2 linked regions of the Drosophila melanogaster genome follow. The protein of the gene in region 2 interacts with the protein of the main gene of each other region in a pairwise test. Each region holds a gene or a part of one and is shown on either strand. Other genes may lie near its edges.

What was found. The genes of interacting proteins can lie anywhere in the genome.
Region 1: the proteins of CG1523 (region 2) and mbt interact in a two-hybrid assay, tested with the Drosophila melanogaster proteins (one large-scale study listed by BioGRID).

Annotation. Positions count from the first base shown.
Region 1 is NC_004354.4:16,608,238-16,615,467, reverse strand, and holds mbt (mushroom bodies tiny), read right to left. Parts: upstream 4,784-7,230; 5' UTR 4,277-4,783; coding exon 3,106-4,276; intron 3,035-3,105; coding exon 2,763-3,034; intron 2,692-2,762; exon of another isoform or gene 2,194-2,691; intron 1,931-2,193; coding exon 1,454-1,930; 3' UTR 612-1,453; downstream 1-611. Other genes in the region: Nup153 (nucleoporin 153kD), read right to left, coding at 6,370-6,463. UniProt on the Drosophila melanogaster protein: Involved in neurogenesis of the adult central nervous system, and together with Cdc42, regulates photoreceptor cell morphogenesis. Phosphorylates exogenous substrates when activated by Cdc42.
Region 2 is NT_033777.3:28,816,519-28,821,884, forward strand, and holds CG1523 (uncharacterized protein), read right to left. Parts: upstream 3,151-5,366; 5' UTR 2,997-3,150; coding exon 2,704-2,996; intron 2,653-2,703; coding exon 2,283-2,652; intron 2,157-2,282; coding exon 954-2,156; 3' UTR 824-953; downstream 1-823. Other genes in the region: Prp39 (pre-mRNA processing factor 39), read left to right, coding at 1-280, 339-645; CG1647 (uncharacterized protein), read left to right, coding at 3,820-3,999, 4,054-4,200, 4,270-4,478, 4,541-5,366.

The DNA of each region.
Region 1 (7,230 bases), on a different chromosome or scaffold from region 2:
CACATTCCCAGTGACCAGCAAACAACAAACCCTCCCCCCCCTCTCCAACACCACATTTCCCCTCTCTCTCCCCCCCCCCCTCTACCCATCGAATCATATGGCTAGCTATGTGGCAGCCCGATCTGCCCTTTAGTTTTTAGTTCGCAATTGATTTTTCGTGTATGTAATATATTTGTAATCTTATGTTGTAAACAAAAACACACGCGCACACACAACACTCACTCAACTCACACACACCCACCCACCAACGCCACAACGACCACGCCCACTTATCCAGAGCCAGTACCCCATCCTTCATGTACGCGATAAATACGCATATATATTTTGCGAATATATGTGCGAGTATTTAAGCGGGCACAATTATGTATTCTTCACAACCATCAAACAATCAATCAATCAATCAAACAATCAATCAACCAGTAATAAAAACAACAAAATCGAAACATGCATTTTTCAATTAGTTTGTAATAAAAAAAACAGAAATATCTTTAAAATGAAACTCCAAAATGTCGAATAAAATATTAAAATATTCAATATTTCTATTCAGAAATTTTTTTTTGGATTTCTAGTTATTTTTGGTAGTTTTTAACTATGAATGAAACCACAAAATTGAACATTTTCGCATTTAAGTTTATTCATTAATTAATAATTACACGGGTTAAATCAAAAAAACAGAACAAAGAATGTAAGCTAAAAGTTCTAAAATATTTTCGAAATCGGGAATGTGTTTAGATATATGCATATGTGTATGTCTGGAGCGTACAAACTTTTCACACCAATGTAAAATGTAAAATGTTTAAAAAATATTTATGTCGAAATTGTATATGCTCTTCCGCCTAACGCTATCTCTTTCTCTTTCGTTTTCTGTCTCCCTTCGATTCACACCTTCGTTGTTTCGCTTTTGCTTAGAATTAGGATTTGTTTTTATAAAAAATATATGTGTATATATATATATATATAGATTTTTAACATTAGCTCTTAGCGTATATATGTATATATTCGAACAATGTTTTATGGGCTGGTTAAAAAAAATCAAACACACACGCACACAAATCAATATTGACAAGAGACAGAGAGCAAAATGCTGAAATACTCATATATGTATATATATATATATATATAAAAATGTGGTTCTCGGGCAGATAAATGCTATATCGTTTCTCCATCCGTATCGGTTGCAGGATGCGATTTCAATTTCGATTTCGAGGCTTGTGAAAGGCACATTGCGTTCTCTTCTGGAACGTTAGTGGGCATGGATATGGATATGGATGTGCGGAGCTTAAATGACTTTACAACGTTTCGAGGATTCTCCGGGGATTTAAGTACAGCTGCCAAACTGAATGTTAATACTAGAATTTAATAGATGGATGCCCACGGGCCGGGATCCGTTGTCTGTGGGAATGATTGCTTTCATCGAGCAGCCGGATCGTCTGGGTTGTCCAGTGGCATCCAACTACGGATGGTGTCGCGCATTGCGCATCAGCGGAACCAGCAGCGACGGCGGTCCTGCCTGGCGCAGGAAGGGATGGGCCAGCAGCTCGGCGGCGGTGGCACGCTGCGCCGGATCCCGCACCAGCATCCGGTCGAGGAAGGACTGCAGGCGCGGCGAGACCTTGTGCGCGTTCTTCAGGTTCGGCGGCTGCATGTCACGGATGCGACGCATCGCCTGCAGCGGCGGTTCGTTGAAGAACGGCGGCTCGCCGTCCACCATCTCGATGACCATGATGCCCAGCGACCAGATATCCACTTCCGGGCCGTACGGCAGGCGCGATATGACCTCCGGCGACATCCAATACGGCGTGCCAACCAGACTCTTGCGCTTCGGCAGCTCCTGTGACACCTGGGCGCAGAATCCAAAGTCCGATAGCTTCACGCGACCATCGGCGGCCAGCAGAATCGAGTCCGACTTGATGTCGCGATGAATGACGCCCTGTTTATGGTTTATCGCCATCGGCAGCACCGTCGAAAGAGACAGAGAGAGAAGGGAAATTGGTTAAAAGCGTTCACAGTTTGCGGTTTTCCCCCAACCAACGCCCTTTCTCCCGCAGACAGACACTTATCGCATTACACGAGCCAACGTGGGACAGAAATGCACAAAAGAAACCAGATCGACCCTGCAACGCCCAAAAAGAATTTCCTGCTCTTGGGAACACGCTGGTTTCCCTAACGTGGAAGATAGCATAAACAGGTTGGGTTCTAGTTCTAATTTCATTTAAATAGACTACATCTAAAACATTAGGAATGCTTAGTATTGTGAAATGTTGGGGCTTAAACAAGTTCCAATTGACTGACTGACTTAATATTATTATTATATGCTATTCTAATATTGATAGTTTTAATATCTCAAGTTGTATCTCAGGCAAAATCATAGCAAATTGGCTTATCTATCAATGAGTAATGAACTATAACTTTAAACTTCCTTCATCATAAGATGCAATTAACTATCCATTCGAAAATCGCTCTATGCACACTTTTCGCTTTGAGGTAGGGCATGCACGTGCGATTTCACCTGGCACTTTGGGCGTGCTACGCCACTCGATGGCCCACTGTGCGGCCGACGACTTTTGTTGGTGACAACATTTAGAAATTGAAACCAAAGCCACGCGAAAGCGGAGGGCGAAGAAAGCGCCGCAAATGGCAAGGTACAAAGGCACAAAGAATCGCATGATGGCGAGTACTCCGTTCTCTGCTGCCCAGTTTGGCCAAGGGAATGGTAATGGGAACGGGGACAGGAAAGGGGCAGTGTCATGCTGGTCACGCACCTGTGAGTGCAAATAGGCCAAAGCCTTCAAGCATTGCTTGCAGACGGTGGCTATCTGCTCCTCGTCCATGCGCGAATGGGTGACAATATCGGTGAGGGCGCCGCCCTCGAGGTACTCCATCACCACCCAAAGCTCATCGTTGACCAGAAAGCTGGAGTATGTCTCCACGATATTGGGATGATGGTAGTCCCGCATGATGACGACCTCGTTGAATAGCAGCTCCCGTCGCTGCTGTTTGCGCAGATCCATCTTCTTCACGGCCACCTGGCGACCTGTACGTAATGAGAAAACCAAATGCCATTAATTCAATGGTTTTGACAATAGTTAAAGCGGATGTTCTTGCCTGTGGATTTGTCCGTGGCAATGCATACGGTGCCCGTGGAGCCCTCGCCTATTTTGTTAAAGTGGTCGAGGTTCTCGCGTGGATCACCGGCGGAGACCACCATCTGAAGGGCGGCACGGAACTGTTCGTGGGTGAGTCGTTGGTCCTGCTTTGGCTGACCCGCCGCTCCTCCACTGGCGCCGCTCGCCTGCTGGGCAGCACTGCTCGCTCCCCCGCTGGAACTGGATGCCCTGGACGCCGACTTGGCCAAATGTTGGTGATGGTGCGGATGCGGATGAGCATGCGGATGCAGAGGATTTTGGTTCTGATCGCCACCCTGTTTGGCCTGCTGTTGCTGCTGCTGCTGCTGCTGATGGCTTGTGGGATACATGGGAGGATAGCTGCCGCCGCTGTTGCCATTGTTCGTGTGCGAGTGATTGGATCGCGTGCCACTGGCCACCGAACCCACGGGCGAAGTCTGCTGTTGCTGGGGCATGGAGCCGCCGGATGGCGGGGCCAGATTGCTGCGATACTGCTGCAGGTTGGTTTGATCCGTGCGCACGGCCAGTGGTCCTGTTGCTCCATTCGCGTGCGCATGCTGACTGTTATAGAGCAGGGAGGGATGGGCACCGGGTGGCTTAAAGCCACCGCTACTAGCTCCACCTACTCCCGGTGTTCCAGCTGCCGGTGGTCCCTCCTCCTCCGGCACCGATGGCGGCACATTGGCTACCCGTCGCACTCGCGGCGGACTGGAACTCCGCAGCGAATTGGATCTGGCCACGTGAGAGGTCTTCGGCAGGACTATGCCGCCCGTCTCGGGTGGCATCATCATTCCGGGGCCATGGCTCATCATTGGGTGTGCGCCAGGTGCCATGGGATTCATCGGCGCCATTGAGCCCATCATCATTGTGCTGCTGCTGTTGAGCGAGGTGGTGTCCGCCTTGTTGTTGTTGTGATGCGGACGCACAATAGTCTTCAGATCGAGAATCTCGGTGGGCGTAATCTCCGAGGGATCGACCAGTGGCAGCGGGCGGTTGGAGGACTTGAGTATCTGATTGTTGCCCACAATGGACGCCCATTGGAGGGGCAGGCCAACATATTTGTTCTCCCGCTTGTCGAAGCCCGTGTGCACACGATGCTCAAAATTGCTGGGCATCGAGATCAGCGGTTTCTTTTTCTTCTTCGAGAACATCTTCAGCGACTCGGATTTCCCGTGCTCCAAATTTCTGCCCTTTTACCGCCCTTTTCCACTCCACACCACTCCTTCCCTCTCGCTCTTGCTCTCTATTTTTAATGTGTAATTTTTTTCTTTTTGTTGCGTCGCCCGACAATGGAAAATGCACAAACAACAAACGATGGCAACGGCAAATCCGACAGAAACAACAACAACAACAGCACACAACTTCTTCCCGATCTCACTCACACACACACATGCAGGGACACGGGCACGCACGCACACACACACGCATAGCAGCGGACGCGACTGGGAAACTGGGATTCAATTGGATATGGATGGACAAATCGAGATGCGCACAAGCGATACACCTTCACCACTTGCTCCTCTGGCTGGCACACATTGCACACATTATGGCGACAGCACGAGCGCACAAGCAATTCGCTTAACAAAAAAATAATAAACCTAGGGAAATAATTGCCGATGCCAGAAATAGAGGTGGTGTTTATCGTGAGTATTAGTGCTGGAACGGCTATCGATGTCTATCGCAATGGCGGCAGTGTGACCGTTGCCGTGGCATGGTGAGTTCGCCTGTGGTCAACTGGCTTTTCGAAATTCAAATGTTTGTAAAGTATTCGCGCTGAAAACAATTACCATTCAAAGTAAGATATGTACTTTAAGACACCAAATATTCGTTATAGAATTTCATTGCAATTCCAGTTGAAAACCCAAGTAAAGAGCACAATGTTTAAATTATCATACCGCATATATTTACTTATTTACATTATGATACCGTTTCTCTCTCAACATAGACTTCTGATTTCCATTTCTGTTCTCGACTTAAAAATGATCAATATAAACTTAAAATAAAATATTAAATGTTCTTTATGAATTTATGTATATAAAAAACATGCATACAATTATAACTCTTTCGGTTTTCCAGTTTGCCACCATTCTCTCTAATCTTTTCATCTAATCTGTTATCTTGTTAGCTATAGGGTTGGTTGGTTTCTTTACGTTGCTAGATAGTTGTTTTTCTTTAATTTGTTGGCTTTCCACCTTGGCTGCTGCACAGAACGTCGTTGCAGGTATTTTCCTCGTGTGAATTGTGTGTGTGTGAATCTAAACGCTAAAATTAATAACAAAAACTAAAGACTTAATGCAATCGTTTGCCGATCGCTCTTATCTGACTGCAATCATCATATGCTCGACGTATCGGCCAATAACTCGAATATACGTATTACTACATTATACAGTAGTTGATTTTTTGCGCTATTACATGGCCTCGCATCTCTGTTTGATTGCAGCATTACACGTTTCTTTACTATTTCGCAAAATAATTATTACATAATTATCGTTAAGGTATATTATATATTCAACAAAAATAACGTTAAAATATATTCATTTTCGTTTTTTTTTTGGTGCGATGAATTCTCGCGTAAATCCAACGAAGTGTTTTTATAATTTGTAATCATCAATATGCGTAGTATGAGCGACATTCGCGTGGTCATCTCCCAATCATCGGAGAGCAGAGAAGGATGTGGAACGAACCTATTCCTTAGCTTTTTAAGAGTAAGTCGGAGGCTTCTGTCTCGGTTTCGAGATGACGCTCCTTTGCCGCACTATCTTGAATTGGGTCCTTACTAGTACAGTTCGTTCTGTTGATGTATATACCGCTGAATCTCGTTCCTCCTGTTGGTTGTCCTCCTGGTCGCCAGTTGTTGGTGTTTTAGGGACATCGTCGCCATTGGTTTCATTGCCTTCTCCTGTTGTATTCTGCCAAATATTCCTGCTAAAGGGTTTCCTGGTTTCAGAGTTCAGGCTGTGGCGGCGTACGAAGCGGTATTTGTTCACACATGGCGACTTTGGTGACTGCATGTTTATCCTCGATGATCCTTGAATATCTGGCTCCTGGTGATATTGGCTCTGGACCGAACCTTTGAGCCCACTATTGTTGCCGGCGTCTTCTGTGTCTTGCTTTTCCTTTTCGGCCCTTGATGCTTTTGCTGCTACTGCTGATTCTGTTACTCTCGGCAATGGCTGCCAATATCTTAATCCTAATCCGACGGCGGCCTCATTTGCTATCGTGATGGCCGACTGCGATGCCATTTCTACCGGGGCGGCAAACGGCGTACGGGGGCGCGGATTTTGCGGCGAGCCGTCTGGGAACTCTGCGCCGAGTTGCCCGCAGCTGGCGGATTGAAGCTGCGGATTAACAATGGATTAGTATCATTATCATATTTGGTTGGTCAATTTCGAGACTCCCACTGGCGGTTGCTGCTGCTGCTTACAGCGAGTAATGTGGACAAAAAACATTAATTGAACAAATAATATATGGATACGAAATGCTATGAACAAAACGAAACAATATGGCACACACAAATAAGACAAACACAAACTATAGTAAAATATGAAATTCGCAGGATATAGAAAATGCTACATATATCCTATTTACACAATGGTAAATAAACCATTCCGTGGAGGAAATGGATGCGTTTTTAACTTCGATTTAGTTTTCACTTGTGGCCAGTTTCCATATATGACAATATGATTAAAATGATTGATTTATAATACTATTCATTTTTCATTAGTTGATTTTTTTAAGCACAGCTTAAACCAGTTTTTTATGAACATAAATGGTAAATGAGGGCGAAAACATATAGTAAGTAATGATTGTAAGAATTTTGTCTCTCTAAACTTAAATTACGAATATATTTTTCTTTGAAAATCTTTTTTAATTAGATCACTTGATTTTAAAACATTGTAAATGTATAAAGCCCATTTTAAGCTAACATACCACATTTTTTTTTGGCCAATTGATTTAAGCCTGCTTTTCAAAATTCGGAAAACTGAACAATCTTGTTAATGCCTATTTTACCCATGTGTAAATATGATAGGTAGTAAGCTTTTCTTCTCAACAAAAACAAAACAAATGGTACGCACAACAAAACGAAATGCTTAAAAATAAAACA
Region 2 (5,366 bases):
CCCTGCAGCAGGCGCTGGAACGTGATCCAGCCAACACTCGTGTGGCCCTGCAAATGATCGATTTGTGCCTACAGCGCCCAAAAGTCGATGAGCAGGAGGTAGTCGAAATTATGGATAAGTTCATGGCTCGTGCGGACATCGAACCCGATCAGAAGGTTTTGTTTGCCCAGCGCAAAGTGGAGTTCCTTGAGGATTTCGGCAGCACGGCCAGGGGTCTACAAGACGCACAGCGCGCTCTGCAGCAGGCACTCACTAAAGCCAAGGAAGCGCAAAAGAAAAGGTAAGAAATCCATGAAGATGTATCCACACTCATTCATTAATCATGGACATTCCAATAGTGATGGCAGTCCTAGTCGCAAAAACTCATCAAGCAGCAAAGAAGGTCCTGTCCCCACAGGATCCGCGGCGGCAGCTTACAACAATGGTGGCTCGGCCGCAGCAGTCGCAGGCTACAACTATGGAGCAGCAAATCCATACTATGGTCAGCAGAATACCGCAGCAGCCTATCCCTCACAGACGCCACAACAGGCGTCCTACGACTCTTACTACAATCAGTGGGGCTACGGTTCCGGTGGGGCCAGCGCCAACAGTGGTGGTAGCGGCTACAACTACGGCCAGTGGAGCGGTTATGGCAACTACTATTAAGTTCGCTGCCTAGATGTAACCCACTCCGCCACCTGTAGCTCTAAGACGCTACGGCTTGTTTAGTTTTGCCTTGCTGCTCTGTTAAGTTGTACACATCTAATTGTAATTTTTTATCAACCCCTATTTGAGCCCACAAAATAACCCCACCATTGCGAAAAATAAAATATACCAGCTTTTTATCGGTCCACCATAATCGCGTTGCTTGTATTTAGCCAATATATGCTTGAAATAAGTCGAATTATGCCTAAATAGAAAATTAAATATACAGATTGACAGTGAGCGCGCTCTTCGCCCGGCTCAACTGAAGTCTACAGGTTGGGTCGATACCAGGTCACCTCGCCCCCGTTGCATCCGGTTACAAGGAGCGGTTCCCTGGGGCTAAACTTGGCGCACAGAACGACGTCCTGGTGTTCGGTGATCTTGGCTAGCTCAACCAGTTTCCGCGGTTTGCTTTTCACCTCCTCAAACGCCTGACATTTCGGATAGTCGCAGCAGTCCTCACTGTAACCAAAGAGTCTTACCCCATTGCCGTACGGCGAGCAGACAACCCGACCGTCCGCGGAGAATCCAGGTTCCTTGATGAAGCCCGGTTTGGTGTTGGTCTCGGCGGCATAGTAAAGCAGTTTCTTGGCATTCACCAGTATTGAATGACCGTTTTCCTTGAACGTTGGCGTTGTCACAGGACTATTGAATGATCGCAGACGCAGCCTGTTTCCGATCTCTAAGCGGACTGTGGTGTCGCTATTGTTGCTGGAGCTGGAGCTGCTGCTGGAGCTACTGCTACTGGAGCTACTGCTGCTGCTCTGGTTGCTTTCTGTGGGCGGCGGGGTGGTCAGGGGGCGAGGACTGGTGCTGCTGCCCATCAGACTATTTGCCCCCAATTGTCTTAGCGGAAGCACTCCGCTGCTGATGGCGTACACAAAGTTATAGCCGCTGACATGGTTATTGGAGACGCGTGCACGGTTCTGTCGGATGGCCCGCTCCTGGACTGTGACCTCCGCCGCCCAGATGTCCGGTATGAAGGAATCCGAGCGTGTCAAGACTGAAGGGTTGTCAGAGGCGCCACGCCCTGCTCCAGAGTTATCCAGTTGGAATACTTGTACACTGCTGACCCGCAACGGTCTCCGTGCCTGTCTGGGAGTAAGGCCAACCGTATCCTGGTCCTGGGATTCATTCAACGAGCTGCGGCTGGCTAGTGTGGTGGACACTCGCTTTCTCTTGGGCTGTGGCTCCACCTCGTCCTGCTCATCCTCGCTGCGCACCGGCTCCTCGTTGATGTCGTGGATGCAGGTCCACTCGCTCTGCTCGTCGCAGCTGACGTTCCTCGTCAGCATGCAGCAACAGTGCGGGTGAATCTGCAATGCCATGATCATCTCGGCGTCGTTGTTCTCCGGAAAGTCGGTGACCAGCTCCACGCGGTTCTTCTTTTGACGCTTGGAGAACACATGATCGTACTTTGCGGCCTGCGGGATATACTGTTCGCCCAACTGCATAAGTCGGTAGATACCGGGCTGGAAAATCAAACGGGCTTATTAGTTGACCATCTATCTACATATGTAACCATTTCATATATCTGGACGAAACTTAAAATCTTGAACCAAACTGAAAATCACAGCGATATTTACAAACTTTCTTACCCTGAATCCGCACAGATCTTTGTGGAGCGTGGTGAGGTCAAGGTGATGGATAATCATAATGTATCCACCGCTTGTGCAGAGAACCAGCTTATCGCCCGTGGGCGAAATCCTGCAGCGCATCAGTCCACTGGCATGAAATACGCGCTGCGAGATAAGGCCCTGTTCAGTCTGCGAATTGATGTCCCAAGTGAAGATGCTGCCATCGAAGCCGGAGCTTACGAGCAACTTGTCCTTGGAGGAGTACTCGATGTTCTTCACCCAGTTGGAGTGGCCGTGGAGGACGCGCAACTTCTGCTTCATGTTCCGCAGGTCCCACAGTGCCACAGTAAAGTCATCTGAACCAGTGGCGAAGAGGCGCTCGTCAAAAAATCTGGAGCGAGGATTAGCAACGAACCTCCTCGAAGGCAACTTCTACACTTACTTGATGCAATTGACACTATCTGTGTGGGCGTCCGGTACCTTAAAGATCTCCTTCTGTGTGATGGCATCGAAGACGAGGACGCACTTCCTCTCCGTGGCGGCCACGACAACGTTCCCATCGGCATTGAACTCCAGGTTGAAGATGGCCCCAGTGCGTCCCGCATCCGTGGGCCAGCAGTTGGCGTGGTAGCTATTAAACATGTTCATCGAGCTGTAAATCCGCCGCATCAGGGAGTTGTCGTCGCTCCGGTGGATGTGGAAGCCACTTTCGCGGCGGCTCAAGTACCGCTCCATCGTGTGGGCTCTGGGATCTCTTAAGTGGATCGGAAAACCTAGAGGAGTGTATGGGTGTGTGCCTTCTCGCGATTTCACAGGCACCGCGATGCAATTTCCCCGTGGCCTTTCTTGTGTTTATTCTGAAACCAGGGGTGCAACGCCGTGCTGCTTGTAACCGATTTCTTTTTACAACTGAACAATCAAGAATTAAGAAAGTTGAACAATGGTAGATTCATCAATGGTAGATAATCATCTGGACTTAAAATATCCTTTTTTGGCACAATACTCTGTAAATTAATGGAATCGATTCTTTTTGCTTCGCCGTACGATGATTAACTTGAAGTATTTTTCATCCAAAGCACTTATTGCAATTCAATATATTCTGAAATTACGATGATACAATTTCATAGTGTAGCCCTGAAAACGAAGTGCTTTTAACACCACTTGTAAAAATAGTAAACAAACATCTTTTTAGTAAAGACGTACAATTTGTTTCAGTATTTATTCTGCAACTATATAACATTATTTATTTATAAAAATTTTTGACAAATTTTTTATATTTAGTGATAAGAAATAGCCAATAATGTGATTTTATTGGCTAAATATTTTTTTTAACGAGTTTCAAAAATTATACTTAAAATCAAATTTGCTAATTTTGAGATAAGCAAAAAATTCGATCCTATCGATAGCACATCGATTTCTACCAACCTTGTTAGCCGCTGACCAACACTAAGCGTATTGGAATAAACAAAATGCAAGTTCAACTGGAGATAAAACCTTTAATCATGCTAAATTACCGGTGAATAAAGCCTTTCGAGACAAATTTTAAGATCCGGCCGAAATGGATCGGTTTGCTTTTAAGATCGACGCTGCCCTCAAGGCGAATCTGTGCACGATCTGTCGTCTGTGCGGCATCGATAATCCAGGAAAAGTGCCAATACTTTTGCCAAATGAAGAAGACACCATCGACCTGGACGAGCCTAGGATGTCCCAGAAGATCTACGAGCTGGTGGGCTTCACTGTGGGTGTTTTTCTTAAAAATGTTCATAGCCAAGTTAACCAACGCCCTTTGCAGGTGTCCGTGGACGACAAAATGCCGCAGACAATTTGCAGCCAGTGCGTGGATAAAATCAATGATTTTTATGAGTTTCGGGAAATGTGCTATGCGACGAATAAACAGACTCGAAATCTATTGGGATTGAAGCAAATAGAGCCCGCAAGAGTGAGAAAAACGAATAACTATATTATAATTTATAATTATACGAACTAATGTATTATTTACGCCTCACAGTTAATTGATCTTAAGCGCATCGTTAAGGAGGAACGGCCAATATCTGGTGCAGTTGGAAAACGGGGAAGGAAGCGCAAGGGCGAGGAATCCTGGCCAAAAAATAACAATGTCAAGCCACAGGTAAAAAAGGAGTCCTTTGTGTGGCACAAAAAGCAAAAACTACAGCCATCACAGATAACATCTTTAGTGTCCAAAAGAGAGCCGGAGATGTAACTATAACATACATTCCTCTTGTTCTATTTGTAAATAATTCCCATTTTTATTATCCCAGCAAAGACGAGCCCGCTGAACAGGACACCAGTCTTAAGGGACCACCGAAAAAGGCCGGTCGCAAGTCTATTTGCAGCGTTTGCGGCGAGAAGTTCCTTAGCAAGGAGCTGGCCGACGAGCATAAAAGCCTGGTGCATGTGCCATCGATACCGCGATACATATGTAATGCCTGCAACCAGACGCACCACAACCAGAGCGACATACGCGCCCACCAGCTGTGGCATAAGCTCTCCAAGACTCCCTACAAGTGTCCCCTGTGCGAGTCTAGCGTAGCCAATGCGTATGCTTTTACGCGCCATTTGCGCGAACACACACCACCCACTCCCGTCCAACTGCTCGTCCTGGATCGGGAGTGTCCGCTGTGCAAGAAGACTTTCGTCACGAACTTCTTCTACAACACTCACCGCTGTGCCATCCGTAAACGCAAGTGCGGCGGTTGCAGTCGCACCTTGAACACCGAAGCGGCCTATATGCGTCATGCGCCAACCTGCCCAAAGATTTACCTCAACCACTCGAAGCACATCATGCCCCAGGTGGTGACCAATGAGGCGCAGATGTTAATCAAGAACGAGATCGAGGAGGAATTGCTAGGTCTTCCGCCGGCCACAACAGTGCCGCCGGATTTCGTCATAGACGAGGGTATGCAACCGGTAGTAGTTCTGGAACGCCTGTCATCGCCACTTCTGCGGTCTTCGTCTGGAACCGATCAACTGGTTGCTGCCAAAAGCAAAAATAGCGATAGGGTTTCTGCCAGGAATTATTTGAAACGAGTGGATCAGCTGCTGAAGAATACGATTAACACTCTGGTCAGCATTAAGCATGAGCCA